Xenopus tropicalis: one gene and its partner. The protein of the gene in region 1 purifies or fractionates together with the protein of each later gene. This does not show direct contact. Links are inferred from orthologs where the notes say so. Each region holds a gene or a part of one and is shown in the gene's direction. Other genes may lie near its edges.

The links. Proteins that work in one complex are often made in the same cells at the same time.
Region 2: the proteins of crtc2 (region 1) and ywhae purify together in Homo sapiens (affinity purification with mass spectrometry; 3 studies listed by BioGRID and IntAct, with this or other methods). This does not show direct contact. The link is inferred for Xenopus tropicalis from reciprocal best matches to the Homo sapiens genes CRTC2 and YWHAE.

The regions. Positions count from the first base shown.
Region 1 is NC_030684.2:144,414,308-144,418,683, reverse strand, and holds part of crtc2 (CREB-regulated transcription coactivator 2), read left to right. Parts: intron 1-238; coding exon 239-307; intron 308-608; coding exon 609-709; intron 710-810; coding exon 811-893; intron 894-1,052; coding exon 1,053-1,102; intron 1,103-2,149; coding exon 2,150-2,391; intron 2,392-2,474; coding exon 2,475-2,881; intron 2,882-2,962; coding exon 2,963-3,736; intron 3,737-4,376. UniProt on the Homo sapiens protein: Transcriptional coactivator for CREB1 which activates transcription through both consensus and variant cAMP response element (CRE) sites.
Region 2 is NC_030678.2:46,066,525-46,071,581, reverse strand, and holds the start of ywhae (14-3-3 protein epsilon), read left to right. Parts: upstream 1-1,677; 5' UTR 1,678-1,847; coding exon 1,848-1,911; intron 1,912-5,057. UniProt on the Homo sapiens protein: Adapter protein implicated in the regulation of a large spectrum of both general and specialized signaling pathways. Binds to a large number of partners, usually by recognition of a phosphoserine or phosphothreonine motif.

The DNA.
Region 1 (4,376 bases):
TTGGGGGGTTCCTGCTTTTGATTGGTTCTCTGGGATGCTAGGGGCGGGGCTTCCTCCTGTGCGCTGCCGGGGGGCTCCTCTCTGGCAGAAGGAGACACATAAGTTAATATATGTGGCTGGAGCACCTAACCACAGGCCTTGTGCCCCCCACCCATTATATACCCCCCCCCCCCCCCCCGTGGCTGCCCACCCCAGACCCTCGGGTCCCTGGATAACTCTGCTGTTTTTCATTACAAAGGAACATGCCCTGGGGAAACTACCCCTCGGACACAGGACAGCTCTTTAGGTTGCCGACCGCCCTAAACAGGTGAAGTTTCTTCTGCCGCTTCCCTCTTTTTGCCGCTTCTCTCTGCCGCTTTGCTGCGTACTGGGAGGAGCTAAGCAGCTGTGTGGCCCCCTCCGCCCCCCCTGTACCACGAGTGCCTTATTGCATAGGGGTGTGTGTGGCTATATGGGTGTGTGCCTGGGCTAGCAGTGGGTGCTTGTGCTGGGTACCATAAGCAACGTGTGGCCCCTTCTGGCTTCAGTGTTTATTTCCTGCTTTGTCCCGGTGGCTACTTGCTGGCCCCTCCCACTAGCCCTGACGTGTGTCCATGGCTTCTCCTCAGGACAAACTCGGACTCTGCTCTCCATACCAGCGTGATGAATCCCAGCTCACAGGATCCATACGGAGCCGCACAGGGCATGGCGCTGCCCAACAGGAGAACCGGTGGGTTGGTTTGTTCCGGTAGTCGCCTGTAGGGGGGGGATTATGGGGTCGGTAGTCAGTTAAAGGCTCATGCCATGTTTCCTTCCCGATCTGCCCCTCAGCGTTTCTCTTTCCGGCGCCGGCTATAGAGGAGGACCTCCACTCAGATAGCAGCCACCTGCTGAGTCCGTGTGATGCTAAAAGGGTAAGTCTGTGGCCCTGTTGGAATGTGTGTGCGGGTTCATGTGGGTGCAGAGAGTGGCCCTGGGTGCCTGCCGTCTCCTCTCATGGGGTAATGGGATGTGCATCTGTTTTGTGTGTACATAAATCATTGCTGCTCTGTTAATATTTTTTTGCCCCACAGATGCTCATGTCGTCTTCTCGGCCCAAATCCTGTGAAGTTCCAGGCATTAAGTAAGTGACAGCCCAGGCCCACACCTTACGAGCAGTAGTACCATAAGGGTTATTTTGCAGGAAAAAGTAGGGGAACCTAGAACCATATTATGCTGTACACTGCACAGTAGGGGTTCCTAGAACCATATTATGTTGTACACTGAGCAGTAGGATTACCTAGAACCATATTATATTGTACACTGGGCAGTAGGGGTTGTTGTTGTACACTGGGCAGTAGGGGTATCTAGAACCGTATTATGTTGTGCACTGGGCAGTAGGGGTATTTAGAACTGTATTATGTTGTACACTGGGCAGTAGGGGTATCTAGAACTGTATTATGTTGTACACTGGGCAGTAGGGGTATCTAGAACCGTATTATGTTGTACACTGGGCAGTAGGGGTACCTAGAACGGTATTATGTTGTACACTGGGCAGTAGGGGTACCCAGAACCTTATTATGTTGTACACTGGGCAGTAGGGGTATCTAGAACCGTATTATGTTGTACACTGGGCAGTAGGGGTATCTAGAACGGTATTATGTTGTACACTGGGCAGTAGGGGTACCCAGAACCGTATTATGTTGTACACTGGGCAGTAGGGGTATCTAGAACCGTATTATGTTGTACACTGGGCAGTAGGGGTACCCAGAACCGCATTATGTTGTACACTGGGCAGTAGGGGTACCTAGAACCATATTATGTTGTACACTGGGCAGTAGGGGTACCTAGAACCATATTATGTTGTACACTTGGCAGTAGGTGTTGTTGTTGTACACTGGGCAGTAGGGGTACCTAGAACTGTATTATGTTGTATACTGGGCAGTAGGGGTACCTAGAACCGTATTAGGTTGTACACTGGGCAGTAGGGGTACCTAGAACTGTATTATGTTGTATATTGGGCAGTAGGGGTACCTAGAACCGTATTAGATTGTACACTGGGCAGTAGGGGTACCTAGGACTGTATTATGTTGTACATTGGGCAGTAAGGTTACCTAGAACCATATTATACTGTACACTGGGCAGTAGGGGCACCTAGAACCATTTGTGATTGTTCTCTTTGTCATTGCAGCATTTGCCCATCAGTGGACGAGCCCACAAGTATCCCTCCAGTGCCCTCTGTCCTTAATTCTGGGGGCTCACTGCCGGACCTGACTAATTTGCACCTGCCTTCCCCTCTCCCCACCCCCCTGGATCTGGACGAGTCAGGATTCAGTAGCCTCAGCGGGGGCAGCAGCACTGGCAATCTGGCCAACACCATGACCCATTTGGGCATCAGCAGGATGGGGCTGGCCCCAGAGTATGAGATTCCAGGTACCACCCAGATAGATACTCGCCCATTCTGCCTTCCCATAATCCCCTGGGCTGGGCTTTAATTTCTCTCTCTCTCTGTGCAGGTTACTCCCCATCGTCAGTGCAGAACTCGCTGAGTCGGTCGTCCCTTCAGTCATCACTGAGCAACCCGAACCTTCAGGCCTCCCTTAGCAACCCCTCCCTGCAGGCCTCCCTTAGCAACCCCTCCCTGCAGACCTCCTATAGCAATCCCTCCCTGCAGTCCTCTCTGAGCAGCCAATCCCTGACCTCTTCCCTCAGCAACAGCAGCCAGAGCCTTCCCTCGGCCTACAGCACCCCATCCTCGCCATCCTCCTCATTCCCTCCCCCGGTGCCCACCCCCATGAACACGTCCCCGCGCCGGAGAGTCCCACTGAGCCCTCTCACTCTCCCTCTGGGGGGGGACTCTAGAAGGGCCCACCAGAAGCAGTTCTCCCCTACTATGTCTCCTACACTGAGTTCCATTACCCAGGTAGGTGTGTGTGTGAGTGGGCGGGGTCACGTGCCCCCCTGTTCCGTGCCCCACCTCTGATCCTGTCCCTTTGTTTCTCAGGGAGTCCCCTTGGATACAAGCAAATTTCCTGGTGACCAGAGGCTGCCCCCATACCACTTTAGCCATGCCAGTCTACTTCACCCGTCTCAGCAGCCTCAACAGCCCCTGCATCAATCCCAGCAGCCTTTGCACCAGCAACTTCAGCCGCCGTCCCAGCAGCCTTTGCACCAGCAACTCCAGCAGCCTTTGCACCAGCAACTTCAGCCGCCGTCCCAGCAGCCTTTGCACCAGCAACTTCAGCCGCCGTCCCAGCAGCCTTTGCACCAGCAACTTCAGCCGCTGTCCCAGCAGCCTTTGCACCAGCAACTCCAGCCACCGTCCCAGCAGCCTTTGCACCGTTCCCAGCAGCCATCACATCAGGCTCAGCAGTCGTCCCAGCAGCCACTATTGCACCAGTCCCAGCAGCCTTTGCACCAATCCCCACACAATCTGCAGAATTCTGTGCACCAGTCCCAGCAGCCTCTGCCCCATTCCCAGTCGTCTGTCAACCAGTCCCAGCCAGCAGCCACCCCGTCCCCGCAATCTCAGCGCCAGTCCCAGGCACCCATGAATCCGTCTCAGCAACAGTCTGTGAAGCAGTCCCAGCAGATGTCTAACCAGTCCTCTCACCACAGTCAGCAGCCTCTGCAGCAGTATTCCCAGAAGCCTTTGCAACAAGCCCCCCCAGGTTCCCAGCAATTTCATTCTGCATCTCAGCACTTTCCTGCCCCGTGCCAGCAGAATTCAGGGGGCCAGCCGTACCAGCAGCTGTTTGAGCATTACAGCCTGGGCAGTGTGAGTATTCCCGGCAGCGCTCTCATCACTGGGTGTCTTTCTCTCTCTCTCTCTCATTGTGTGCTGCCCCATTGCACTTCTAGCTGGATCTTGTATCCTGTATGTTGCTAAGCGGGAAGGGATGCTGTATGTTGCTAAGCGGGAAGGGATGCTGTATGTTGCTAAGCGGGAAGGTGTATGTTGCTAAGCGGGAAGGGATGCTGTATGTTGCTAAGCGGGAAGGGATGCTGTATGTTGCTAAGCGGGAAGGGATGCTGTATGTTGCTAAGCGGGAAGGGACGCTGTATGTTGCTAAGCGGGAAGGTGTATGTTGCTAAGCGGGAAGGGATGCTGTATGTTGCTAAGCGGGAAGGGATGCTGTATGTTGCTAAGCGGGAAGGGATGCTGTCGGTTGCTATGGGGGAAGGGACGCTGTATGTTGCTAAGCGGGAAGGGACGCTGTATGTTGCTAAGCGGGAAGGGATGCAGTATGTTGCTATGGGGGAAGGGACGCTGTATGTTGCTAAGCGGGAAGGGACGCTGTATGTTGCTATGGGGGAAGGGACGCTGTATGTTGCTATGGGGGAAGGGACACTGTATGTTGCTAAGCGGGAAGGGATGCTGTATGTTGCTATGGGGGAAGGGATGCTGTATGTTGCTA
Region 2 (5,057 bases), on another chromosome or scaffold:
ATCCTGCATTGAAATCCATTTTTCAAATACACAGACCCTATTTCCTATATTTATTATTAAAAGGTCATTTTAATATATATTTTATTTTAAAATTTCACATGGGTCTAGCCATGTCCTTCATTTCCCAGGGTGACTTGTGCTCTGATAAACTTCAGTCACTCTAAAGCTGGAGTGATGTCACCCCCCCTTCCCCCCAGCAGCCAATCAGCAAAAAAATGGGAAGGTAGCGAGACAGCAGCTCCCTGACACCTGTATTGCTAAAAGTGGTAGATGTCAGAATAGCACTTAATAGTAAAAAATCCAAGTCCAGTTTAGGACTCCTCCAGTTACAGGAAAGAGAGAATAGATTATCTGAAAGCAGTGAGAATTTGTAGCACAACTCCTTCTGAAAGATAGCTTCAAGAATAAAAATTTAAATGCTAGAGGGAATGATTTGCTATGTAAACGGTGTAATTTAGAAATAAAAAGTACCCCGTAAAAGTCATGACAGTATCCCTTTAACGGAAGGCCTTACCAGGGATCTATACAGAGTTAATGTCCGTTTTCATGCAAGACTAGTCCCGAGAGATACAGCCTAGAGCTGCACAGTGTAAGGCTGGCCATATACTAAATGATCTGCTTGTTTTGGTGAAGCTGCAAAACAAGAGGATCTCACCTGTATCAGCCCACCTTGAGCTGGTCAATATCACACTGATTCAATTTGATCCAAAGACAGTATGCATTCTGTTAGGAGGAGGACCATGCTAACAAGCTGATTTGGTTCTTGTCCCAATGGGATTTTTTTAACTTACCTGATCAGCAGCTGGCCAATTTTCAGCCAGATAACATTGAATTTGCAGTTAATGTTCACTGGGTGCTTTGCCAGTTCCAGAACCTGCCTGTTAGCAACACGATTAGACAAAAGTTAAGCATGCTCCCTAAAATGACTGCTGTGGGGCCGTCACCCCTAGTTAAGTCACTAAGTAACGCACTTTAATGCACCAGTTGCTGTAACAGTCTGTCACTGGTACCATTTTGTCACCAGTAATGGGGACACAAAGACAGACAACTAATCTCCCTGAAATGCCTTCCCACTGGCATCAGTGACTTGTTGGTGGGAAAGCATACACAGCTCATCCCTTTCTAAAACCAGCAAATGAATCTGTGTGTAACCCCTGCCCTTACATCCCCTCTCACCCATCCCTGTGTTATAGTAACAGCCATGGAGATCAATGGAAATCGGCTGCTATCCTGCTGTTCCTTGCATAACCCTATCATTAGAAGGGAGTGCATTCCTACAGAGGGAAATGTAATTAGATTGGCATCACAGACGAGTTTAAGTGTGATTTAAATTTAAAAAAAAAAGGGGGAATAATAGAAAACTGCGCCCCAGTCACAGCGCAGCGCAGCCCGACCAACTTTAGCGCTCCCGCCCCGCCTACTTACGCAGCCTTGGGAACTACTAGAACAGAAGGATCTCTGACATTACCTGGAAGCTATATAGTATAAAGCCCGTCTTTTCTATTTCACTACCTCCCCCTCCATCACAATAATCAATGAGACAATCGTCCCATACCTCCCGGACTCCCTTATAAGGTCAGCATGAGGTAAAAACCCCGCCCTTTCATGCCTGACGCAAAGCCGTTGGGCCCCGCCCATTTGTGCCGCGCCTGCTGCTGTTGCTAGGGAGCCGTTGCCATAGAGTTGAGCGATTGTCCGCGTGCGCAGGCGGAAGTGCCCGGATTGAGGCTGCCATCTTTCCCGGGCAGAGCTAGAGAGACAGAGAGGTTGAGTCACTGGGAGACGGAGACAGACAATCGGCTTCCATCCGCCCAGTAGATCGCCTTTAATCCCCGCTAGCTACCGCCATGGAAGAGCGAGAGGATCTAGTGTACCGAGCCAAGCTGGCAGAGCAAGCCGAGAGATATGACGGTAAGAAGAATCGCTAAATTCCCCCCCTTAGGTCGACGGGCGGAGAGAATGGAGGCGAGACAAAATGGCGGAGGGTCTAGCAAAGGGAGGGGAGGACAAAGGAGACCCTCATAGTACAATAGGGACTGCTTTTCTGGGATGACAGTTGCTTAGACCTGGCTGCCATTTAGTGTTAGAGGAGCTCCCTGGGGCTGGCTGCTGGCGGCCAAGCGGGAGGGGGCTGTGGTAGGAAGGGAGGCTGCTTATAAAATGGCGACTGCCGAATAGGGCGAGACTATGGGGGGCGGAGGGCGATTTATGGTGTAACTGACCCTTCAGCCTTTTAGGAGGAATAACAGAGGCTTAGACTGGGGGGCAGCTCCCCTATTGATACACTACACATCCCAGCATGCACTGCTAACCGGGCTGCACGGAGTGCATGGGAGCTGTGGGACCGCAGAGGGGATGTAGGGATATATGTGCCGGGGATAGGGCAGTGTGCTTATGGGCGGATCACTGGGGAAGATGGCGGCTGGGGCCGGTAAAACGTCTGCAGTGGTGCAATTTCCTGGATATGTGGGAAAAGCCGCTTGTCTGGCAGCGGAACAGGGGGTTAAGGCATCGCCATGGAAATGGCACTTGGGTGGGATGGCCCTCAGGCTGCGGGCGGCATTTGTGGGCTGAAAGGCTCATTGTCCCAGTCAAGCTGGAATCATGGACAATGTGCAGGTTTCGTGTCTGGCCAGTAATGAGTTCTCTTGGGTTACACACACTGGTCACATAAGGGGGGTCTCCATTATTCCTCAAAGCCCTGCAACCTTCAGCTCTGAACTACAACTCCCAGCATTCCACTGGCTTCACAAGCTGGAAGAGGCACAGGGGTTTGATAGCGTTCCGATGGGATGGAAATCTAGCTCCACTGAGCTTAAAGCTGCATCCAAACGGTGTTTGAATTTTTAAATATATTTTTTCCCAGAATTCCAGCATCTGTCAGCCAAAGCAGTCAGGGTGTAGTAGCTTGCTGGGTGCATCCTTTCATTGTACATTGGTGCAGTGTTATTGTGCAGACCTCCTATCTTTGTTATTCCACTGACAGCAATCTGGGTGGGGGGAGAAGGAAGGGTTATGGTGATGCTGCAAGCCCTTTTACTGTACAAAAAATCTTCCCATGATAGGTCTAGCTCAGATTTTTTTTCATTATTATAAAGGCTGTCTGAGATAACAGCCTATTTTCTATACGTTTTTTTAATTTTCATATGTGATATTTGCCAGGTTAATTCACACTGTCCCAGAAGTGGATTCTATAGTTGGCTGTTTCCTTAGCCAGCCTTGCCTCAGTGAAGCAGTAGGACGCGCCTTGCTGCGCACCTCCGCCCTGGGCCTGGCCTGTGTGCTGTTTCATGCGTCCAGGCTCATTCATTCCTGTCAGACCAGTCCCTCGTCGTGCAGAGGGATTTGTAGATCTGCATCTGGGTGCGTGTCTGTGAAGAGTTGGCAGGTGTGGGCGTGCCCTGTCTGACAGAATGGCCTTAGTCCTGACTGTTCTACAGGATAACAGGCATCCATGGAAAATTGATATATTTTTATTATTATTTAGATCTGGTTTATTTAATTTCCTCCAGCCGCCCTTATTTTTCTTTTACACCCCTAATTAGAACAGATACATTTTCTGTTAAATTTCTCCCACTTAAATTTTAGATATGGAGGAATAATTTATTTATTAAATGCACTGTGATGTTACTTTATACATATTTTAGATAACTCCCCAAGAAACCACATGAGAGGCATTGAAATCCTTATTAATGGAGTGGGGGTACCAGTCACCCACCTCCTTGCATTTATGGAATGCTTGTTTATGTGGTTACCTTTGTCTCACTTGTTTACTATATTTGGAATCCTGGGAATGCTGTAGTGTTCTAGAACAGAGTGTCTGGAACCTGACCTGAGGCAAGAGAATGTCCACTTATCCACATATGTTCATTATTATGTGAATAGCAAAATGTGGTAGGTCCTCATGCTGGAATGCTTGGATATTCACAGAAATGTCATTGTTAGGGAGGCATTAGAACAGGTTTTGAGAACCTTTTTATTCAAGAGATTTAATTTTCAGAACTGTGTGACTGAAACATGCACATCAGATGTGTCTCTAAGATATCTATACCATCCTACAGCTGCCCAAAGACTCCATTTGTATGAGTTATATTTCCACTGAGCTTCTGTATAGCGGATAATACCCCCCCCCCCCCCATATACACACAAAGTTGCTGATTTTTAAAGTGCTGTCTACATAAGTAGTTCTAAAGTCCTGAAGAGTGTTGGGTACCCAGGGTTATCTGCGAAATTTTTTTTGGGGGGGTTTAATGGGGTTTCTGGGGTGTCATTTTTTTTTTTTATTCCTTTACAGTTATTCATTCAATTTTTAAACTTCCTTTTTACTATTTCACTTCTTGCATTATGGTATCCCTCCTGGTAGTCTTTAGATTGTGGGCCAGAACAGGTAAAAAATGTGAGCTGGGTGGGGGTCTACCCAGTTAAACTCACATCGGTCTCTACACAGTTGTATATTTTTAAGAATACACTAACAGTACACATAGGGAACAAAAGTTCAGTACAAATATTTGTTAAAATCTATTCAGTAAAATGGTAAAGGGGCTGTATACTCTTGTTTAACATGAGTTTAATTACTAGGCCTTGTGCCAAACATACTGTTTGCCTATAGTTTTAAGTACAAAAAAATGTATTTACTTCTTGAGCTGGACTGGGAAATTAAAAGCTACTCCATATTTGGTCCTTTCCAGGTAGCAAATGATATTACCAGAGCTCAGATAATTCCCCTTCATACTGCACTTGGTTGGCTTGTATACTGATCTAATTAGCTCTGTTGCAAAAATCAACCATGGTGTAGAACCATTGATTTTTTGATAATAAAAACAGCCAAAAAGTATGTTCAGCACAAGCCCTATTCATTGAATTTATGTTAAACACTGTTTACTGTTCCTTTAAGATACAGTAATAAGCAGTGCTGTCCAACTTCTCATGCAGTGAGTAGATTTGACATTCCACATGAGCATCATATTATCTTAAAATAATGTCATACAAAGAAGTCTATATAGCTCCTTAGTGGACAGGGGGGCTATAAAATTCCATTGGAGGGCCACATCTGTCCT